3 linked regions of the Rhinolophus ferrumequinum genome follow. The protein of the gene in region 2 interacts with the protein of the main gene of each other region in a biochemical or structural test. Links are inferred from orthologs where the notes say so. Each region holds a gene or a part of one and is shown on either strand. Other genes may lie near its edges. The genes, in order: MAPK8IP1, MAP3K11 and MAP2K7.

Region 1 (7,589 bases), about 8.9 Mb from region 2:
CTATCCACAAACAAACGTTCCCCACCCTTGCAGGTCCACATCGTGCTCACCCCCTCCACCACCTCACCTCTCTCCCAATATTCCAGGGCACTCTCTGAACTCAGACTGCCTGGGTTCCAACCCAGCTCTGCTACTTATCTAACCTCTTTATGCCTCCGTTTCTTCATCTGCTAAGTGGGCTTACAATAAGAATAATACTCTGTTTATATAGTCCTGGTAGGAACTCTTGCACAGAAAGTGCTCAGAATGGTGTCTGGGCAAAGTGAGCCGCTCCCACGTGTCAGGGCGTACCACTGGGCTCTCTGGCAATGCACTGTATTCTCTGTACTCTAGGAGGGTGGTGCCCAATTTTAAGCTTAATTAAATAGTAAACCAATAAGGCATTACTGAGCACCTACTCTGTGCTGGGCATTGGGCAAACCAAAGTTTAGATATTAACTCCTTACGCCTTTGAGAAGCTGACAGTGGTGCTGGGGCATGTGTAACACACACAGTAACAATAAGAACAACAACAACAATAACAACAACTGCATGAAGGCAGCGCTCCACAGCTCTTGGAACACTCAACATGTGTTGTCTCATCCAAGTCTAAGGACCGTCCTGCACAGCGGCCAAAGCTGGCATTATGGAGAAGAAACAGAGGCTCGGGGGTCGAGTGCCCAGTCTTGGGGCACACAGCTAAGAAGGCTAAGCCAGGAATCAAACCCAGGCCAGCTGGATCCACGACCCCACCAAAGAGCCACAAGAGAGCAGTAACTACCCAGGGTTAAACCAAACTGGGCCAAGGGCTCTGAGAGGCTGGACAAGGGAAAGGGCAGCGGGGGCGGCCACGTAGGGCTGGAGACACTGCTCTTATTATTCCCACGAGTGGGCTTTGTCTTCACAGCCAGGCCACCATGTCCCGGAGGGCTGGCCCACGCCTCAGCCTTGGTGTGCTGCCACCCTTGCCCACCTGGGCCAGGACTGGACACACTCACTGGCTGGTATCCACCCTGACAGCTCCTCTCGCTAAAGCGCCCATGCTAACCTGCCTGCCTGCCTGTGAGCACTGGTACCTGGGGATCAGGAGCCAGGTGAGGGGAGGTAAAGCTGTCCTCCGGGCCAGGGGCAGGGCCTGGAGGTAGAATGGACTGAACACGCACCGTAGCTGTAGGTTCCAGTCCAGCCTCAGGCTCTAACTTCCTCTGGGTCCTTGGGCAAGCCACCTGCCTCCCTGAATCTCAATGTCTTCATCTACAAAATGGGCAGACTGATCCCCACACCCGGGGTGGTTATGAGGGCTAGGTGAGCCGGCACTGGGAAATGCTTTGAACAGTGAGGAGCTATACACAAGCCTGCTAGCATAGAGGGCGGGCTGACACTTGGTAAGCACCGACGTGATATAAATTAAGGAATCAATATTCATTAGCTCACCTAACATGTGGCACTCAGAGAAGATAAAACCCTGCCCAGGTCATGCAGCTAGAAAGTGGTGGAGCTAGGATTTGAACCCAGGTCCTTCTAAGCTCAGTGCCCTCCCACTGCAGAGGGTCCTCCTGGTAGGAAGGCAGTGTTTGCACAGAGGCAGTGTGTGATGCCAAGTGGAGTCACTCTCAGACCTCAGGCTTCTTACTCAGGCACTAACCACAGAGGCCCCAGCATTCAAACCTCCTCCATCTGGTCCCCTCCTTCTGGTGTTTTCCGGGCTCAGCTCAGGGCCTCAGGGGAGGTTTCTAATCCTGATGATGCCATTAGAGACCCACAAAGGTCCCTGCCCACCTGAGGACCAGGGAACCAGCAACCTCTTGGTCAGAAGAGGGGCTGGCGCCAGAGACCAGCTGGGGCCTGGCTGAGGTGGGGGCCCCAGGAGACGGGAGGGCGCCAGCTCATTAGATGGAGAAACAATGGGGTACATCGAGGCCTACTTCTTCCAAGGCTCTGGAGCAGTTACACCTCCTCTTCCTTCCACCTGGGGCCAGGATTCTGAGGAAGGGACATCAACCCTTCCCCACAACACCTACTGTCCACTTCTCTGAAATTCACCTCCCAATTGCCTAACCCCAGCTAGGAGGCAGGGAGAGGGGTGAAGGGAAGCTCAGATTAGGGTCCTGGGAACTACTCCTGCAGGGACCCCCCCCAATATTCCTGGTTACTTCTGGGTGTCCAAACCAGACACCCCGTCCCACAGCCACGTCTAGAATCTCTGGGTTGAGTCTGAACCTCCTGCACCTGCACACATCTGACAAGGTCAGGACTTGTCCAAATCCAGGTCTGGGAGTTAGGCCCCTCTGGTCAGGCAAGGCCCATGACTCCCTCCTTCCTGCACCAAGGTTGTCCGTTGCCCCAAGAAACTGGCACCCATTTCTATTCAGAAGCCTTCGGACTGGGCACAGGCAAAGCCAGCCTACCTGCCTCCTTTGGGATCTCAACCCAGATTGCAGCCCTCCTCCAATTGCAGCTCAGAGTCTCCTAGCCTAGGTCATGGAATGGCGGAGGGAACCGCACCACGGATATGCAGAGGCTATCAGTTTAGACTTGAAGCTGAGGGAGGTTCTGGGGGCTCCGTCCAGGGAAGAGACTCCATCTCCATCCAGGCTGTCCCCTCGTTCCCGGGGTCTGGGGGGGTGGTGTGTGTGTGTGTGTGTGTTGCAGGCTGTGGGGAGAGGGAGCCTGAGCAGATCAGTCCCGGCTAAAGGGCGGGGCACCGCGGCCGGGGATTCTCACCTGAAATTGGGCGGCGACGCTATGTGCAGCCCCAGGAACGGGGAGGCGGCAGGCGGGGACGCGGCCCCCCCGCCCAGGCCGCCGCTCTCTCGCTCCGCCATTCTCGCGCACAGCCCTGGCCATCCGGGCGGAGCGCGGTGCGGAGGCAGCGGCGAAGGCGGCGGAGGCGGCCGAGGGGAAGGAGGTGGGGGCGTAGCAAGAGGCCTCCGCCGCCGCCGCCGCGGGGATCCTGCTGGGCGGGCGCGGCGGGCGCACCTGCGCAGGGCAGCGCGCGGCTCCGGACCGCACACCGCTCTCGGGACTGGCGCGAGCGCCACCGCGCGCGCCCCCGGGCCCTGCCTAGGGGTCTCGTGCGCCCCGCCCTCGCCCCGCCCCCGGGCCCGCGTGCCCCGCCCCTCGGCGCTCTCCGAGGTACTGAAGTCGCGGCCCCTGCCGCCCCTGGGTCCGGCCCAGCCCTGCCCTAACTCTTACACTGACTCCTCTCCCCTCGCCCCTCCCGCAAAGCCCTCCCAAGCCCCCCCCCCCATGTGGCCGTGCGAGCTCTGCCAGTTGGCGTGGGCTTAGCACCTGGGTGTCAGGTAACTAATGGCGGGCCCTTAGTTGGCCCTCCTCAGCAGACTAAGAAGGCGGACAGGAAGGGGAAGGTCGTGGAGGCTGGCATAGAAAGGGAAAGGGGGTTGGCAGTGGGCTCCTCGAAAGACACTGGGATCTGTGGGACACCCCAGCCTGACAGGTTTGGAGTCAGTTGGTGTGGCTTTGCGTTATGATGTACCCGTCCTAAGGTTTGGTTTTCTCACCTGTGAAATAGGGACAATAATGGTCCCTCACATGGTTGGTGTGAGGTTGAAACGTATCACAAATGTATTGTCACCGGACGCTGAGAACACTCCATCTCCTGCTGGGATCCAGGTTCACCCCGTCCAGTCCCATTACCTTGAGGGGACCCTTCCAAGGACTATCCCTAGAGCGTCTCCTCTCTAAAGATTGACTCAAGCCCTGCTTCAGCCCTAAACAGCTATTAATGGTTAACTGAACCCTTCCTCTTGGCTTCTGTTTCTGAGCTTCTCCTTTTTCATGTCAAGACTTTCCCAGATTTGTCCCTCTTCTCACTTATCCCTCAACTGCATTTCCTGAAGAGGAAACGTGCACCCAGACATCCAGAGCTGGCCTCTCATATTCTAAGACAGGGCCTTTCCTTCTGCCCCAGCTGTGGTTTCTTCCTGGCCTTCTCTTCCCTAAGAAGGCTAAGCCTGTGAGTTCTTTGAAAGCCTGGACTGCTGGACATGCAGGCTGCTGGTCAAGGTTAGGGCCCCAGCTTTGGTGGGTCATAGAGCCTCTGACCAAACATCACTGGCTTTTCTGGCCACCTGGGAGAATCACACAGGTCCTGCCCTTCACCTCTCTCTGAAGCAGCAGCAGAGCAAACTGCTTCACAGCTTATGGAACCTTATTTGCAAAGCTGGACTGCCAGCTGGTCAAGCCACCCCCTTTACCTTCAGTGTAGCATATGGAAAGGAGCTGCAGGTAGCAGGTCTGCAGTGAACAACCCCCAGCCCCAGCCATGAGAACGTCCCAATACCTAGAGCCAAAGGCCTTGGCTGCCTTTCTTCTCCCTGCCTAGACGGGTGGCCACTGTATCTTCCCTGCTATCTTGGCTCAGTCTCCTTTCACTACGCCTGAACAGTAACCACCTGCTGTTATGGTGCCTGGATTCCCAGGAAAGCAGTCCTGCCATAGTGGCTAATAATTGTACCTTAGTGTGGAGAGTGTGTTTGTCTTAACTAGGGAGTGTCCTCAGGTCAGGGGTGTGTGTGTGTGGGGGGGACAACTCCATCCTCCAGGACCTTTTGCTCAAGAACAAAGGTATCTCAGCTCTCCTAAGGCCAAGCCAAAGCCACATTAGAGAGCAGCCCGGAGAAAGGAGAAAGGGAAGGGCGGGACCAGATCTTGGTGGGAAAGGGGCCACCAGGAGCTTCAAAGCAGAGCCAAGAATGAGACGAGTTCCAGGGTCAAGTTCCTCCCTTTTCCCCTTTCTCACTCTATGCAGGGCAGAGTGTGATATTCTTGGGCCTTGCCTGAGCCCCCTCCCACAGGAAGTTGGGGTACGGCTAACAAGGCTCTAACTTCCAGTGGTCTAAGGCTGGACACCTTCACAGGAAAGCCCACGCACTGTGCGCAGAGAAGGGTCACTCTCTGGCCAGATGGCATGAGACAAGGTCAGCATCCAGGCCCTGGGCTTGGCTGTGGTCCCATCTGGACCACCTAGCCAGAGCCAGAAGGCTTGGACCCCTTCCGCACCACAGCTGCAGCTTAAGTGGCTGAGTTGAGGTAAAGGATGGATGGAAGGCCCGGAGAAGGCCTGCCCCTGACTGATCCCCAGCCTGGGGGTCTACGTGGGCCACAGGCTGGGTCTCTGCCGAATAGCACTCATGACCCTCCTCCAGTGCCTGGAATGCGCTATACAATTCTGGCTGATTGACCTCCAACTCTGACAAAGATGGGGAGCTCCGGATGCTCACCTAGGAGCCTCCCCCTTCCTCCATCTCTCCCCACCCCGCTCACCCCCGTGACCTCCAGGAGGGGCAAGAGGCTCCTGGTTCCAGCAGAGGCAAGAGGGTCCGGCCTAAGGCTTCATTCAGGCTCACCCTTACTGATGCCCACCCCCCAGACCTCCCACAAGACTGACGACAGCACAGCTTTGCTCATCCAGGATCAGACATTTATGAAACAAGTGAATATTCACAAACTGTGGGAGAAACACACCTTCCCAGCAATAGAAAATCTCTGTATAAAGTGCATTTTGCCTGTGACCATCTCTTACCCATGCTGGCCCTTGGATCAGGATTTGGGGCAATGCTCTATGGCAGCCCCCAGACCCCTGGGCCAGGGGAGGGGAGGCACAAAGCCATGGTGGAGCTCTGGGCTACTGGATGCACCCTCTCCTCACCCCGCCCCTCCTAACTCCAGGAGTGGACCGCTCCATTCCACTGGGAATGGGCCAGCATGCCAGGGAGGGTGAAGCAGGGGTAGGTGGTCTGGCCAGCTTTTACCTTAGGGAAGAGAATCCCCACTCAATAGGCAGGGTAAGGGACTCATCCTGGTCTGAAGGGGCTGCTAACGAACACTGACGCTGGCCGGAGCCCTCTGGCCTTCTCAGTTTCTCAGACCAGCCCTTCCAGGCTTGCTCTACTCCCCTTCTGGCAATAGTCCCCAATTCTCTTTCTCCTGGCTGGGGCTAAGGGAACAAGGAAGTCCCCAACCCAATGCTTCGAATACACACCGTCACCTGTGCCCTGCTCCCCACACATAATTACGGGACATTTCTAGTGAGGGTGACAAACATACAACGGTTAAACTCTAAAGGCAGCTCTCTGGCTGAGAACACCTGAGGACCTCTCAGGAAGAAGCCTGTCAATGTGCTGGACAGCTGATGGAGACAGGGGCCTGACCCCAGGGTTCCGGTCTGAGGACAGGGGACAGTGGGGGACAGGGCTGGGGCCAAGGGAGTTAACAGCTAGAAGACTAGGAAAGGCCACAGGGAGGTAGAGGAGAAGGCCCTGAGGCCAGCTTAATGTTCCATGTGAGGACAAAACTCCAAAGAGGAAGTAGCCTCTCAGCTACGCGCGCATGTAGCACACACGCACGCGCACACACACACACACACACACACACACACACACTTTGTGGCTCAAGTGCAGGCCGCAGTGGAAGGAAGACTTCTGCAGCTGACCACACAGTCCTTTTCATTATGTCTTTCTCAACACGGGCCTTTGACAGTGGGAGGGTTGAGGTGGGAGGCATAGGCCACTCCTGGAATGTAAGGCCTTGACCTCTCCGGGTCAAACCTCCCACCTGCTACTTCTGGAAGGGTTGGTGTGCGGAGGGGTTCTTTACTTGGACCTTTCCCAACTGGCCCTGGCAGTCCTCACGAGTCCACCTGCCTGGGTCCTCGGTGCCTAGCTACTGGCAGAGCTGACATGGCAGCTTGGACGCTGAACATTCCTGGGCAGGCTCTGGACACCTGCAGAACAGACTAGAATGGCCTCCCTGGCTGGCTGTCAGCTGACCTCAATGGCAGCACTGTGGTGCCCTGGAGTATGGCCAGAAGAGCCAGGAACCTGGCCTCCTGCTGGTGGAGGCACTGGGTTGCCACAGTCAGCTCTGAGGCTGGCCCTCAGATTCTGCGGAATGAACAGTAGGAACTGGGATTTTATTCCCAACCTTAGGTTTTAAGCCCGAAAAGGTGGCTGTACTTCCTAAGCTATCTTCTACAGTACCGTGTATACAGGTACTGGTGTACTTCCGTACGTGGTGGAAAGTTCTCAGATCTGTCCACAGCCTCATGTTCTGATCCAGATGCCTAAGGAAGGGTCTGGTCGACCCAATGGCAGGGAATTTTTAAATAGGAAAGAAGCCAGGCCAGGTGACTGTGTCTGGATAGCATCCGTCCACTCCAGCCTGCTCAGCCTCCAGGGTCAGGAGGAACTCAGAAGGGCTCTGGCTGCCTTTAGAATCCTCTGGACAGGAGCCAGAAATGCTGCCCTCCTGCTCCTCCGTCTGATAAGAGGGAGGCAGGGAGGGCTGGGGGAGGGGCAGATGCCAGAATCCCAGCGAGGGCCCTACCACCTTTAGCCTGGGCCATAACCTCTAGCCTGGTGTCTGAACGCTGAGGTGAAGCTGCTACAGGACTTCTCCGGCCTAGGCAGCATTCAGAATCACAAGAGTGTAAACAGATGCATGCACACCCTAATAGGCACACCACTCCTTCCTCTGCACACACGCGCGCACACGTTCGCTCCATCTCCATCGGTGATCAGCTTTCCTGCAGGTTGTACTCTGCTGCCGTGGTGGCTGTTGGGGCATCCAGGCTTTGCTCACGGAGCCAA
Region 2 (7,918 bases):
ACTTGTGCCTCAGTTTCCACGTTTAGAAATAAGGACAGTATGACTGCCCTGCCCCACTGATGGCCCAGGATGATGTCCGTGGATGCTGCGAGTCGTCGGGGACAGAGGCTTCCAGTACCAACGGCAGGACCTGGAGAACGGTGCCGGAGATCTCTCTGCCTGTCTCCCCGTTGCTGCAGCCCTGCTTATCTGAGGGGTTTGGCAGATTGTGTCACTCAATCGCTGAGTCCACATCCACCTGCTGCCTGAGACAGAGGCTGGGCTGACCCCGACCAGGTCCACGCGTCTGCCCTTTGCCCAGACCTAAGCCCCGACCTGGCTCACCTCCCTCCCCAACCCTGCAGCTGGCACTTACCTCCCCCTACAGCACCTTCCTCCTGCAGCTCCCCCCGCCAGCCAGGCTGGTTGGCAGCAGGTCCCCTGCGGGCCTCGGCAGGCAGCACAGCAGGTTCACCGGCAGCTAGCTCCACCCCTGCCTGGGCCTCCAGCTCAGCCTTGGAGCCAGCCAGGGGGGCCCTTAGGACATCACCCCCCGCTCCGTCCATGCTCAGCACACGGGCATGTGTTTTGGCGCTGGCAGTACTAGGCGTCCGCTGGGTCCCATAGGGCCGTTTGGGGGGCACAGCAGTCCCCTCCTCAGCCCCATGGGGGGCCCGTCGCTTCCGAGGCCCCCCTGCTGCGCCCCGGGAGCTCTCGGGGGAGTAGCAGGAGGTAGAAGAGGAGCTGTCGGTACTGTAGCGGCGCTGAGATCGGAGACTGGAGGCCGGGCTCAGTTCACTGCCCTCACTGGTGTCTTCATCCTCAAAGAAGCCCCCGCCTTCCAGCAGGGGCCGCCGAGGGGCACGGCCGGGTGGGGAGTGTCTTCGCACGGGCGGCCGCCGTTTGCTAGGCCGGAGCAGGGCCAAGTCCTTGGGCCGCACAACCAGGAGCGGCTCAGCTGGACCTGGCGGTGTCCCTGCTCCTATGACTGTGTCAAAGGAACGCAGTGTGTCATCTGAGGGGACTCCAGCATCTGGTGAGGCGGGCAGCTCAGCCTCCGAGGGTGGGTCTGTGTCGCTGCCCTCAGGGGCTTGCCCACCAGGGGGGCTGTCCAGGTGGGTCGAGTTGGTCTTCTCACTCTTAAAGCTGCTCAGCGTCTCCCTGTCAGTGCCACTGAAGCAGGAATCTGAGGAGCCGGCTTTCTGCGGCGTGGGCTCTCCTGAGCCCCGCCGGTCCAGGGGCTGGTAGCCACCTACTCCCCGGCATTGTTCCCGCCGACTGCTGGTCCTCACCAGGGCCCGGTCAGGCCGGGTCAGGGTCAGGAAGCTCTTGCTCAGCTCCTGGCTGAGGCTCCCCTTCAGCAGGGGGCTCATGGGAGTGTCAGCCACACTGCTCCCACTCCAGGGGGCTCCATCTCCAGCCAGGGGAGAACGTTCCGAAGAGTCCGTGCTGGGAAGAGAGGGGTCCGGGGCAGCCCCCGGGGGCGTCTGGGGAAGGTCTCCAACTGTCAGAAGAAAGGAACGCAGAAAGTGAGTGAAGAGCACACTGAGAAAGGAACTGGTAGCTAAGGGGTCTTATGGCCTCTGCCTTCTCTGAGAGCCCAGCTGGGGTAGGACCCTGAGGAGGACCCATCCAGGAGAACAAAGAGAGCCCCAGGGTAGCACAATTGGGTGACTCAGAGACAAAACAGCTAGTGTTTCCCCCCAACCCCCCGCCATATCATGCCCACTCACTCAGTTTCTCCTGAGAGCTTAGCTTGAGCATCTCTCGATCGGCTGAGGTCATGATCACATTGTTACTGCCCTGCTCCCGCACCAGCTCCTTGATGTCTGCAACCACGGCCCCAGAGTCAGCAGCAGCACCCCGGGGCAGGTGCGTGCCATCCCGTTCCACACCACTACTTTCTGCCCTGAGCAGCAGCGACCTACCTCGGAGGGGCCCAGAGTCTTCCATCCGGGGCAGCAACTCCTGGGCAGACAGAGACAGGTGTAAAGGAGCAAACAGGACAGGAAGTAGCCTCAGGACATACCCGTGGTGGGCATGGGCTCTCAGGAGAAGAGTGGGAGAGGCTAAGGGCCAGGACCACTCACCGAGACCTGGTTGAAGCCAAACACGGAATGCTGGGAGCTACAACGTACTGGGGGTGTGGAACTCACTTTCCGAAACACTGTCATCTCCACTCCGGGATCCCTGGCAGCGGAGAAGAGCTTCAGCATTGCGCTAACCTACCCTCTTTATCTAGTACCTCTGCCATCCCCGTCGCTTCTCTCTCCTCAAAAGTTCCCTTATAATTTCAGGACCGATTATAGAACAAGTGCTGACCCACTCATGAAGCCAATGCTTCCTAAGCCCCTCCTCCATCCTCCAATGCTCAAGCCCAGGCAACGAGAGCCCTCAATCCCCAACAGAGCCCCTACCCCACCCACCTGAGCGCATTGTTGTCCCCCTGGGCAGGCTCTTCCTCTGGCTCCCCCAAGGTAGAGTTGCGCTTCTCCACAATCTCGCCCTCGTCGAACATGGCATGCAGCCGATAGTTCACAGTTTTGATGGTAGCAAAAATGACAGCCACCACAAGGCAGTATACACTGGCCACCATCAAGCTGGGAGGCAGGACCTGGAAGTGGCAGCAAGTCAGGTTCCTCCTCATACAGCTCTGCCCCCATGGAGTGGACCTACCACATCCGTCAGCGCTAGCGTTCACAAATTCACAAGAAGACTTCATCGCCCCTCTGTGAAACTAGCACAGTGACCCGACCAGTAGTTCTGTCTTCTAACTGGAGACAGATATTCCGTGAGATACTCAAGGTCATCCAGCCCAGAAAAGGAAGAATTTGGCTTCTCCCCACACCCTAAATCTGCGGTGGTTCCTCTCTCCACACCCCAGAGCCCAAGGCACAGTCCCGAATCCCTGCCAGGCCACCAATTCTTAGTGCCATCTGCCCTCCCTTTCACTGGCGGGAGTTACAGGTGGTGGCAGCGTCTTACCATGTACAGCAAGAAGGGAAAGGTGAGCAGGAAGATCCAAACGTAGAGGTGGAAGCAGTTGGAGAAGGTACTCTGATGTGGGTCGAAGAACCAACCGCCAGTAAGCGAGGCCCACACCCCCTGGCGCAGGATCTGTAACACCTGCGACCCCATGGCACCGCCGCTGCTGCTGCGCGCGCCCTCCTCCCGGGACCCTCATGGGGGCGGCCCCCGGCCCATGCCCCGCCTGGCGCCTGAGGGCCCCGGGGCCCGGCCTAGCGCTCACGCCATGGCCTCCCCCAGCGGGGGAGAGGGGTCCGAGGGGCGAGGGTACGGGCAGGGGGCGGGGTCGGCCAGGGCAGTCAGCGGGGCGAGGCCTGGGCGCGGCTACGGAGCCGCATCAGGGGCGGGGTCCGGGCCCCCACCCCTGGCCCAGAACCGCTCCGAGGGGCCGAGCCGGCAGGCAGGCGCGGGGCACGGGCCAGGCACCCGACGGCGGCATCCAGAGGTGGGCGTGGGGTGGGTAGCCCGGAGGTGTAGGCGACAGCTTCCCGGCTCCGGCCTGGGGAGAACCCCAGGACCCTGAGGTCCACTTCCGGGGTCACAGGTCACTCGCTCCGGGATCCGCGCTCGCCCCGCTTCTGCGGGAGCCGGCCCAAAGGGGAGGCCGGAAGAAGGAGCCGCGAGCCGCCAGCCTGCAGTGGCGCATGCGCCCGATGGGTTCAGTTGGGACCCGGAAAAGGAAAACCTGACGGCATGAATGCGCAAGCGCATGGAGGCGGTAGAGCGAAAAGAAGCGGGGGAGCTCTTTGGGCGTGCGCAGAGTCCAGGTCGAAGGGAAGAGACGATCTAAGCGGTGGAAGCGCTTGAGCGCACGCGCACACCTAGGCGTTGCCAATTTAGCGAAAACCACTGGGCGGAACCAAAGGGATAGTTGAGTGGCCATTGGGTAATGCAGCGGAGTTAATTGGCGGAAAGCTCTCCCAATGAGTTACGAAGGTGGGGAAAAGGATGGAGGCGTGAACTCCCCAGGACCACAGAGAGAGTTCATCGCCACCGGAGCACGCCCCTACGGGTGCGCCCCTTTTAGTGTTGGACCTCAAACGTCACGAGCGTCTGTCACCCGGAGCGGCCTCTACTTCCGGGTCAGAGCTCAGATTTGGAGTGCAGAGAGCGACCCTCCCGAACAGGCGGGAATAGTCGAAATAGGATAGCGTCGTTTTTCTTAAAGTGACAGGTTCAAAGCAAGTGGGGTCAACCCAGCGGTTGTGAGGGAGACTTAGCTATTCTGAAATCCAATCACTGGACAACAGTCTCAGGTTTCCGCCCACTGGGGAAGGGGCATGAAGAAGTGGACTGTTTCCCAGGTGAGGGGAAAAGGAGAACCTTAGACAACCCGTTGCAAGAGTTTGAGGTGCAGCGAGTTCCATCCTCCTCCAATCTCCCGCACCCTCATCCCACTAGCTCTGCAAAGCAGAGCTTCTGGTCCCCATTTCAGATATGAAGAGAATGAGGCGCAGAGAGGATGGGTCACACAGCTCTGCAACTTCGAAACCAAGACCAGACTCGGGGTTGCTCCACTCCTAAGACAAGTTTTTCACCCAGTTTTGCCGATGCGGATGCAGAGGGTGGTGGTAGCACGTCCTTAGCAAAGAACAACCTCGACCCTAAGCCCGCTGTGATGGGGGGTCCGGGGTACCCTTCCCCTCATTCTGCCCCTCCTCGCCCGCCTACCAGGGAACTCCCGAGGCTCAGCCGCCTGCAGCCTCTGAGAGGGGAGCGGTGCTACCAGCTCGCGTCATCTGATGCTGTTTCCTGCAGGAGGGAGAAGAGCGGAAAAAAGTGAAACTCCACCCTCCACCTCTGCCTCCCGCCCCCGGGGCCAAAGTACAAAGGGAGGAGGAAGAAGGGAACGGGGGTTGGAGCGGTCGGGCCAAGGGAGCTGGGCCTGGAAGGGGCGGCTCGACCCAACTAAGGACACTTCAGCCAGCCCTGCGCAAAAAGACCCAACCGAAGTCCAGGCGCTGCCCCTCTCTGGCCCCACCTTACATTTGGCGGGTGCTGGAGCCAGGCTCCCAAGACTGATCCGGGACTGAGGCACACCCCGGCCCTTCCGAACTGGCAATGGTGAGACACCGGAGACCTCGGGGTCCCATCCCCCGAGCCTGACCACACTGCCCTGGGTGGCCCTCCTCTAGAAGCTGGAGATGCAGCGGGCCAGGAAGCCACACTCCTGGCTCCCCAGAGAGGCGTGGGTCTGGGGCTGAGGACCAAGGCCCGGATGCCCAGATTCTGGGACTAGGGCTCGCCAGCCAGCAGGGGTGGGGACCAGGGGCACCCAGGGAAGGTCCCCCACACACCCCAACGCCGGCTCCCAGCCATGGAGCCCTTGAAGAACCTCTTCCTCAAGAGCCCACTGGGGTCATGGAACAGCGGTGGCAGTGGGGGCGGCGGGGGCAGCAGCGGAGGCTGGCCAGAGGGGTCCCCGAAAGCAGCGGCTTATGCCAACCCTGTGTGGACAGCCTTGTTTGACTACGAGCCCAATGGGAAAGACGAGCTGGCCCTGCGGAAGGGCGACCGTGTGGAGGTGCTGTCCCGGGATGCAGCTATCTCAGGCGATGAGGGCTGGTGGGCGGGCCAGGTGGGCGGCCAGGTAGGCATCTTTCCATCCAACTATGTGTCTCGGGGCGGCCCGCCCCCCTGCGAGGTGGCCAGCTTCCAGGAGCTGCGGCTGGAAGAGGTGATAGGCATTGGTGGCTTCGGCAAGGTCTACCGAGGAAGTTGGCGAGGTGAGCTGGTGGCCGTAAAGGCAGCTCGACAGGACCCCGATGAGGACATCAGCGTGACAGCTGAGAGCGTGCGCCAGGAAGCCCGGCTTTTCGCCATGCTGGCACACCCCAACATCATCGCCCTCAAGGCCGTGTGCCTGGAGGAGCCCAATCTGTGCCTCGTGATGGAGTATGCAGCTGGTGGGCCCCTCAGCCGTGCCCTGGCTGGGCGGCGTGTGCCCCCCCACGTGCTGGTCAACTGGGCTGTGCAAATTGCCCGTGGGATGCATTACCTGCACTGTGAGGCCCTGGTGCCCGTCATCCACAGAGACCTCAAGTCCAACAACAGTGAGTTGAGGGGAGCATGGTTGGAGGGTGGCATGGCCCAAGCACACACATATTGCCTACTCTCAGCTGAGCCTACCTGGGGATCTACTAGAGGCCGGAGCTCTTGCCCCGGGGGAGTCCCAATTGACTGGGATCCCCACTGTCCCCAAAGCAGAAGTCCCAGACACCAAACAGAGTCCTTCATGCCCCAGCCCCAGAAGAAGTCCTTGGCCCCAGCTCACAGATGCCAAGTTAAAAAATTGGGATCTCTCCGGTGGGCCATAAGTACCCTGCCTAACCATGACTACCACCTTAAGGAAGCAGAGCGCTGGATGCTGGCACTCCTCATCTTCCCCTCCCTTAAAGTTCGCACTTGTGCTGTTGATTCTCTGCACTCCCCTCCACTTGTGATGGGCCGCTCCTCCAGAACAGACTTCTCCAAAGGGAAAGTCCCCCACCATGGTGGTTGTGGTGGTCCAGGCTGGGGCCTGGGCTGGAATTTTGGCCCCACCTCTCCCCTGGGTGGTTATTTCAATTCAGAGCCTCGGTTTCAGACTCTGTATAAAGAGAGTAACAGGGGAGGGGGGTGGGAATGGCTTAATGGACCAGGCAAGCCCTGGTGTATGATGGTAACACACAGTGGGTCCTCAAGCGTGGGTGTGGACATTTGAGGGTTAGATCACCAAAAGGGCCTCACCTGGAATCAGCATTTGGGGTGGGCATGGTGGAGCTATGGCAGACTCAAGCAAGGAGGCACTCCATCTCTAACCATTTCAGGCCTCACACAGTGCTCAGCATGGGCCCAAGACAAGGAGTGACAGTTTCAGAGGCCTTCCAAAAACAGGCAGGCTTCCCACCAGGCCAAAAGCAGTGAGCGTTCAGAGAGGCACCCAGTTGGATAGCCAGGCAGGGCCTGACAAGAGCAAAGGCCAAGAGGCAGGACCCACCACAGTAGTGGGGATACGGGCTTTCTGGGGCCCTGGATGCGGTCTATAGAGCAAAAGGAAGTCCAGGAGGGGCCAGTGGAGTTACTGGAGAGGACTGGGCAGCTCTTGGAAGGGGAGCATGGATATTTTGAGCCTCCTGGCCTGGGCTGACCATGGACAAGGGATCTAGGCGGAGCAGAACACCAGAACCCAGTGATGTCCAAGTCCTTGCCAGGACTGGAGGGGCCGGGGGATGTCTGCCAACCACCCCACCCACTATCATAGGGGGCAGTTTCCACCTCTCAGCCTCATTTCTGGGTTCTAGCCATCTAGGGACCCCCATTCCCTGCCTCAGCCTGAGGGGGATTCCCCGAAGGCCCCAGGGGGAGGGGACTCCGTCTTCTGTTTTTCCTCCAGTTTTCTTTCCAGAAAAAATGGAACAATAGCCCAGGCCCCTGCTCCCCACCCTCCCCACCGCTTCCTGCGTTTCCTGCTGCCCCTGAGCCGGCTTCCTGCCCCTGCTCCAGCCTCTGCTCCCTCCCCAACCCAGCTGCCTGCAGGGGAGGAAAGAGCTGGGGGTGGGGGGTGTTTGTGGGAGAGGAAGGAGCCAGGGATTGCGCCCCTACTCTCCTCCAGTTCCCCTGCTTCCCTCCCAGAGTCTGGGTGGTGGTGAAGGGCAGGGAGGGTGCCCTCAGCCTTCCTGAGCCTGGCCTCCCACCTTGTAGGCCCAAGTTCTAGGCCTGGGGTGCTGTCTGCGGCATTGGGGGGGATGTCCCTGGACTGGGGGGGCGCAGGCAGGAAACAATGGCATGATTTTCCTGGACAATGGGGGCCTTGTGAGGAAGCCTGACAGGGAGAGGAGGGGGAATTCTCCAGGCCCACGAGTCACAGGACTGACCAGCCAGCCCGGCCTGGGCCTGACCTCCCCCAATTCTCCCCCAAAGGACCCCCCCA
Region 3 (7,119 bases), on a different chromosome or scaffold from region 2:
AAGCCCAGGCAGGGCCAGGGAAGGCAGGGGAGGGTGAGAAGGAAAAGGTGCTGGCAGAGCCTGAGAAGGTGGTGACTGAGCCACCAGCCGTCACTCTGTTGGACAAGAAGGAGGGCGAGCAGGCCAAAGCCCTGTTTGAGAAGGTCAAGAAGTTCCGTGTGCATGTGGAAGAGGGGGACATTTTATACACCATGTACATCCGGCAGATGGTGCTCAAAGTCTGCAAGTTCGTTGCCATCCTGGTCTACAACCTCATCTATGTGGAGAAGATCAGCTTCGTGGTGACCTGCACGGTGGAGACCTCCAGGTTCACGGGCTATGCCAGCTTCTGCTGCAACCACACCAAGGCCCACCTCTTCTCCAAGCTGGCTTTCTGCTACATCTCATTCGTGTGTGTATACGGGGTCACCTGCCTCTATACGCTCTACTGGCTTTTCCACCGGCCCCTCAAGGAGTACTCCTTCCGTTCCGTGCGGGAGGAGACTGGCATGGGTGACATCCCCGATGTCAAGAACGACTTTGCCTTCATGCTGCACCTCATCGACCAGTACGACCCGCTCTACTCCAAGCGCTTTGCCGTCTTCCTCTCTGAGGTCAGCGAGAGCCGTCTGAAGCAGCTCAACCTCAACCACGAGTGGACGCCCGAGAAGCTTCGGCAGAAGCTGCAGCGCAACGCCAAGGGCCGGCTGGAGCTGGCCCTCTGCATGCTTCCAGGACTGCCTGACACCGTCTTCGAGCTCAGCGAGGTGGAGGCGCTCCGGCTGGAGGCCATCAGTGATATCACATTCCCTCCGGGCCTGTCGCAGCTGGTGCACCTGCAGGAGCTCAGCCTGCTCCACTCACCCGCCAGGCTGCCCTTCTCCTCACAGATCTTCCTGCGGGACCGCTTGAAGGTCATCCGTGTCAAGTGCGAGGAGCTCCGTGAGGTGCCCCTCTGGGTGTTCGGACTGCGTGGCCTGGAGGAGCTGCACCTTGAGGGGCTCTTTCCTCCAGAGCTGGCTCGGGCGGCCACTCTCGAGAGCCTCCGTGAGCTGAAGCAGCTCAAGGTGCTGTCTCTGCGGAGCAATGCTGGCAAGGTCCCAGCCAGTGTGACCGACGTGGCCGGCCACCTGCAGCGTCTTAGCCTGCACAATGACGGGGCCCGCCTGCTGGCACTGAACAGCCTCAAGAAGCTGGCGGTGCTGCGGGAGCTGGAGCTGGTGGCCTGTGGGCTGGAGCGCATCCCTCACGCTGTCTTCAGCCTGGGTGCGCTGCAGGAACTTGACCTCAAGGACAACCACCTGCGGTCCATTGAGGAGATCCTCAGCTTCCAGCACTGTCGCAAGCTGGTCACGCTCAGGCTATGGCACAACCAGATTGCCTATGTCCCCGAGCACGTGCGTAAGCTCCGGGTCCTCGAGCAGCTCTACCTCAGCCACAACAAGCTGGAGACCCTGCCCACCCAGCTGGGCATGTGCTCTGGCCTCCGCCTGTTGGATGTCTCCCACAACGGGCTGCACTCCCTGCCACCGGAGCTGGGTCTCCTTCAGAACCTGCAGCACCTGGCTCTCTCCTACAATGCTCTGGAGGACCTGCCCGACGAGCTCTTCTTCTGTGGCAAGCTGCGGACGTTGCTCCTGGGCTATAACCACCTGAGATATCTGTCACCTCAGGTGGGGGCCCTCAGTGCCCTCAGCCGCCTGGAGCTCAATGGCAACCGGTTGGAGATACTGCCGGAAGAACTGGGCAACTGTAGGGGGCTCAAGAAGGCGGGCCTCCTGGTGGAGGACACTCTTTATGAAGGCTTGCCAGCAGAGGTTCGGGAGAAGATGGAAGAGGAGTAAAGCCAGGGAGGGGCATGTTGCGGTAGAGGCCTTCTGGGTATTTCTGTCCCCAAATCTACCAATGTCTTCAAGGGAGGTGGCCAGGTGGGCCCAGGCCAGGAGAGGAGCAGACATGTCAGTCTGTGGGGCCCAGGCAAGATCCTGGGACTGGTTTGTCTGGGGAGACGGGAGTCTGTGGATTTGGGGTAGAATGTCATGGAGGGATTAACTAAGTCATGGAATTCACAGACCAAAACCACACCTGTCTTTGGCTGGCTGGCCTGCCCCCAGCCCTGGGCCAGACTGCTGCCCTTCCCCTGGACATTCTAGTTCAATCAGTACAACAAAAGGGGTGAAGACACATCCCAGTAAAATTTCAATCCTTCCCTGCCCCAAGGAGGGGATACAGACACAAGGGGCCAGTGCACACTGCCCTCACTTGGATGTTAATCCCTTATTTATAAGTTGATTCCCATGGACACGTGAACTCAGAAACATGGGCCTCTTAGTTGGCTATGCATCAAAATCAACATTTCCAAAACAAACACCCCAGGCCCCACCCCTGAAAGACTGACTCAGAAGCTTTGGCTGGAGGCCAGGAATTTGCCTGTAAATAAACATTCCAGCTCATTCTGACGAAGGTGGTCCTAGGCCTGTATGTTGGGAGATATCTGGATATATATAGCAGGGATTCTGAACCCTTTTTAGGTCCCTAGGCCCTTCGAGAATCTGATGAAAGCTGGGCACCTCCTTCTTCAGGAAAATGCTCGTGTACACATTCATGCACAATTCTGCCTACAACTTCAGGTCGTCAACAGATTCCCCCAGCTCCCCCAGAGGGCTACTGACGGATGTCCTAAGGCCGGCAGACACCAAGTTAAGAACACCGGCTGTGGAGGGTACACTGCTCTGAGGACAGGCAGGGACTTTGTCTCTGGAATGTTCCCTGTGTGAGGAAGCATGTGTCAGTGGGTGCTTAATAAACAGTCCTAATGATGAGAACCATCATTCCGATCTCGTGTCCACGCCTGTCACTAAGCTTTCCGTTTCACCAGACCACTTCCAGGCAAGTGGTGACATGTGCCACAGTCAAGGGTATGAGTCTCTGTCCTGGGTCAGAGGCGGAGAAGGGGGTAAGGAGGCGCCCTCGGCTAATCAGGAAAAATGAGGTGGCGTCTTCTGCCTAGGTTTTCCCTGGGGAACCCCTTTTCTTCTACTTTCCGTGTTATCCTCCTGATTCCATACTTTTGTATCTGCTCCCCCCATAAGTCTTCATCAGAGGGATCCCCTCGGCTGGACCAGGAGTGGGCAGGGCACTAGGCACAGCCTGCCTGAACCTGACCTGGGCCTGGCCCCCTCCAAGGTATCTGCAGGATGCAATCTTCCGCCTGGCACCCAAGAGCAGAGGCAAGCTGCTCTCCATGGACCCAGGATTCCAGATGGGGACATTTCCCCAGCACCCTTCAGACCAAAGGAATATTTAGGCTACAGGGACACCAGGCAGAGCCGCCGAACCCCAGGGCCAGTCTTTTGCATTGTCCAGGAGCTGGGTTCACATTCTGGGGGCAGGGCAGACAGGGAAAGCCTGACACTGTCCCACGCCAGTCTGACCTGGAACTCTCCAGCACTGACGTTGGTCCCGGTCGCCGAGGTCAGAGGTCATGCCGGTGGACAGTAGCTCTAGACCTACCCCGCCTCTCTCACTTGTCCTTGGCTAACCCTGAGCTTGCTGAAATGGCAAGGGTGCCTAATTACGGTGAGGAGGCAACAATTAAGCATAACAGAGATCCTAATGGACCATGTCCCAGGCGAGAAAGGCAGTTCTGAGAGGGCGTGGGTGCCAAAAAAGGGCCAGTCAGGAAGAGCAAAAAGAAGGCTGAGGCGACCAACCTCCCCAAGTCCCCAAGCACGAGCCGCCGGGCATGCGCGTGCGCAGCAGACGCCACGCGCGAGACCTCCTCTCCTCTAAGCGTGCCCGCCTTTCCCCGCCCACCGCTCTCTGCAGAACGGTGATTGTAGTTTCCACACAGCGCCGTTCACCACTGAGTTCGGGAAACTCGCGCGTGCGCATCACGGCGGAGACGTTGCACGTTGCCAGCCACTAACTCTAGGTGGTGTCATCCCTCGGGCTGGGACGAGGGACGCACGCGCGGGGGTTCGCACGAGGGAAGGGCGGGTGCGCAACACGGGCATGCGCGGTGCGGGGCGAAACGGCGGCTCGGCGGGGTCATCCGGGCGCAGGCGCAGTGCGGTGTTTGTCTGCCGGGCTGACGGTCGGCCGGGCGGTGCGCGGCGGCGGCGGCGGCGGCGGCGGGGAAGATGGCGGCGTCCTCCCTGGAGCAGAAGCTGTCCCGCCTGGAAGCAAAGCTGAAGCAAGAGAACCGCGAGGCCCGGCGGAGGATCGACCTCAACCTGGATATCAGCCCCCAGCGGCCCAGGCCCAGTAAGCACGGCGGCATGGGGGAGGGGGCGGGTGGGGCGGGGCGCTCGCCGCGGGAAGCCCCGCCCCCGCCGCCAGGCCCCGCCCCCGCTTCCGGGACGCTCTTGCTTCTCCGGTCCGTTCCCCCCTCCCCGCTGTCGTCTCGCGGCGCGAGGGTCACGGCAACCCGGGGGGCGGGGTGCTGGCAAGCTCCCGGGCGGCTCTCACCCGGCCTGGGTGATTCCCCCTGACGGAGCCTGGGAACCTAGTTACCTGGCTCCAGGCGAGGACCCCACCTGATGACCCGCCCCCATCATCGTGATCCTCGGAGTCTCTGTCACCTATTGTGAGCCGTGCTCCCCCTACCCAATCCAATCGGCCGTGACCAAATCCACGTCCTCCGCAAGCACATACACATCCCTTTTGACCAGATGGTTCCGCTCCCGTTATCTCGGTGACTGTGTCAAGAGGCCCCTACCTACCCCCACTCCACGCCTGGGTCCTTGTCATCCGGGTTCAAGGGATGGTTCACTCACACTTGTCCGGGGGACACCTCAGGTCACTTGAGCACACGTAACCCCCCTTATCCCTCTGACCAAGACGATTCTCCCACTCCTTGTGACTGTGTCTGGTGATCCCTTCTCCGTCGTGGGCTCTTGTCTTTGAGCCCAGCAGCCCCCCTCCCGCACACATTCTACTCACATACATGTACCAGGTCCCCTTCACTCCCTGATCAGTTTCACTGCCACCATCTTGGTGAATGTGTCTGGCCCCTCAAAAACACACACTCAGCCCCCAACCTGGAGACTTTGTCGTTTGGGCTCAAGTGACTTCCTTTTCCCCACATACCCCTACCCACCCAGCCTGGGGACACCTGAGGCCCATATGGTGGTATCTAGCATCCCAGCACACATACGCCTCCCCTCTAATTCCACCATCTCAGCACCTACCTTCCTGTCATCTTGTCATCTGGAATCAAGAGCTGTCCCCCCTGGGATCACCATGACCACATGTAGGATCCTTGTTATGTCCCATAGAACCCAACTCCTCTCAGCTGGAGGGCATCAGATTTCCCGCTGCCCACAGACTTGAAGAACAGCACCCCCATGACACTTACGTAGCTCCTGTGGGGTCATCCTGACAGGAGGGGAAGACATCCCTGTATCTGGGTACTCCCCAACCACCCCCTACTCACCTGGCCTGACCTTCACAGCCTTTCCTCGCCCCCGCCGCCGTCTTGTGTGTAGGGTCCACTCCCCATCTCTCTTCTGACGTGGGTCAGTGTGGGTGCCTCACTGAGGGGTCTTTTGGGGGCCCAGAGAAAGCCCCAAGGCGGTAATGCTGGCGTTGGACACTCCCTGGGGTAGGAACCCAGCCAGGACTGGAGGGTTTCTACTAAGCTCCAGGATGGACAAGACAGCGCTGGGTACGGGGCGTCGGGTGCCTACAGGGGTGGCTGTCCCAGGTGCAGAGCAAGGCACGGCAAGACCCAAGGCGGGCAGGCCCCCGAGGAGCCCCCTGCAGGCATCTGTGTGTGTCAGCGTCAGCTCCATCCCCTCCTGCCGGTCCTCCCATCTGTCGGTTTCCACCCATCTCTGCAGTTTGGTGCCTCGTGCCTCCCCCCTCCTCCTCGTTATGATTTGATTTCTTTTCTTTTGGACAAATCGGTTGTTTCTGTTGTGATTTATCGTGGTGTTGTTTTTTTTCTTCCTTTTCCCCATCCAGTTATTGTGATCACTCTAAGCCCTGCTCCTGCCCCGTCCCAACGAGCAGGTACCAGCCTTTTTATCATCGCCGCTTGGACATCTGCACCGTTGACCTAACCGCTGCCCTAGCCGCAGAATGCCATCCCCCTCCCCCCGTGCTCTGTGTGTGTGAGCGCCCCTGCGTGCGTGCGCATCTCCTCACTCACTGTCCCTCTCACTCCCTCACTTTCTCTTTCCCTACGGTCAACATCAGGCCCACCTGGCCTCTTCCTGTGTCCTCTCTCCTCTCTGTCTCTTGGGTGCAGGTTTGGACCCCCTGGTGGAGGACCTGGGCTCCCTCATTGACTGGGAGTCTGTCACCTGTGAGGGGGTCATGCATGTGCGTGTGTGTGCGTGCGTGAGTGTGTAGAAGTAAGAGGGAGAGAAAGGGGGGCCAGCATGTTGGCTGTGCCTGTTTATCCATTTCAGTAATTCAGGGGACACGTCTTGGCCCCTGGGTGCTGTACCTGTTTTAGGCTCGGGATACAGCAGTGAACAGAACCGACCAAGTCCCGCTGTGCAGCTGATGCCCCACTAGGAGTTGAAGGGGTGAGAATAGTGAGCGCCTCCTGACTGGGGAGAACTGGAGAAGGCGACAAGTACTGGGGAAAGCAGAGGAGAGCAGGCTTGGGGGTTCTGTAGGGGGACTGTTGGGGGAAGCCTCTGGAGAAGGTGGGGTTTGAGCAGTGTCTTGTGGGAGGGGCGGGGAGCATGTGCACAGCCCTGCCAAGGCCTGAGTACAGGTGCCAGCGGGTCTGGCTGGAGTGGATGTATGTGGGGTGTGCCCATGCATTGGGTCGGTGGTGTGTGAGAGACCGGGCTGGGGTCTGTCTGGTCCTGTTGGTCCTTGTGTGTAAGTGGGATATTAGGCAGTTGAATGTGTGTAAGTGTGTGTGTGTGTGTGTGTGTGTGTGTGTGTAAGATGGTGTTGGGGGCTCCGTGGTCTATTATCTGCCCATCTGCATGTGTATGGGGGTTAGTGCCATGCCTGTGTGTGTGTGTGTGTGTGTGTGTGTGTGTGCGCACACCCCTGCTGACTGACAGCCTGGTACAGCTGTGGCTCCTGACAGCCCCCATGTCCTCTTGTTTTCTCTCATTCATTCATTCATTTATTCATTCATTCATCTCTCTCTCCCTCTCTTTCTCTCTCTCT

Evidence for each region.
Region 1: the proteins of MAP3K11 (region 2) and MAPK8IP1 form a complex in vitro, tested with the Homo sapiens proteins (2 studies listed by BioGRID). The link is inferred for Rhinolophus ferrumequinum from reciprocal best matches to the Homo sapiens genes MAP3K11 and MAPK8IP1.
Region 3: of the proteins of MAP3K11 (region 2) and MAP2K7, one has a biochemical effect on the other in vitro, tested with the Homo sapiens proteins (2 studies listed by BioGRID). The link is inferred for Rhinolophus ferrumequinum from reciprocal best matches to the Homo sapiens genes MAP3K11 and MAP2K7.

What each region holds. Positions count from the first base shown.
Region 1 is NC_046294.1:14,967,554-14,975,142, forward strand, and holds the start of MAPK8IP1 (C-Jun-amino-terminal kinase-interacting protein 1), read right to left. Parts: upstream 3,002-7,589; 5' UTR 2,805-3,001; coding exon 2,704-2,804; intron 1-2,703. UniProt on the Homo sapiens protein: The JNK-interacting protein (JIP) group of scaffold proteins selectively mediates JNK signaling by aggregating specific components of the MAPK cascade to form a functional JNK signaling module. Required for JNK activation in response to excitotoxic stress.
Region 2 is NC_046294.1:6,096,256-6,104,173, forward strand, and holds the start of MAP3K11 (mitogen-activated protein kinase kinase kinase 11), read left to right. Parts: upstream 1-4,848; 5' UTR 4,849-5,323; coding exon 5,324-6,059; intron 6,060-7,918. Other genes in the region: PCNX3 (pecanex-like protein 3), read right to left, coding at 356-1,483, 1,713-1,808, 1,908-1,947, 2,070-2,169, 2,406-2,593, 2,965-3,117. UniProt on the Homo sapiens protein: Activates the JUN N-terminal pathway. Required for serum-stimulated cell proliferation and for mitogen and cytokine activation of MAPK14 (p38), MAPK3 (ERK) and MAPK8 (JNK1) through phosphorylation and activation of MAP2K4/MKK4 and MAP2K7/MKK7.
Region 3 is NC_046301.1:56,873,220-56,880,338, forward strand, and holds the start of MAP2K7 (dual specificity mitogen-activated protein kinase kinase 7), read left to right. Parts: upstream 1-4,047; 5' UTR 4,048-4,121; coding exon 4,122-4,245; intron 4,246-5,946; coding exon 5,947-5,994; intron 5,995-7,119. Other genes in the region: volume-regulated anion channel subunit LRRC8E, read left to right, coding at 1-1,823. UniProt on the Homo sapiens protein: Dual specificity protein kinase which acts as an essential component of the MAP kinase signal transduction pathway. Essential component of the stress-activated protein kinase/c-Jun N-terminal kinase (SAP/JNK) signaling pathway.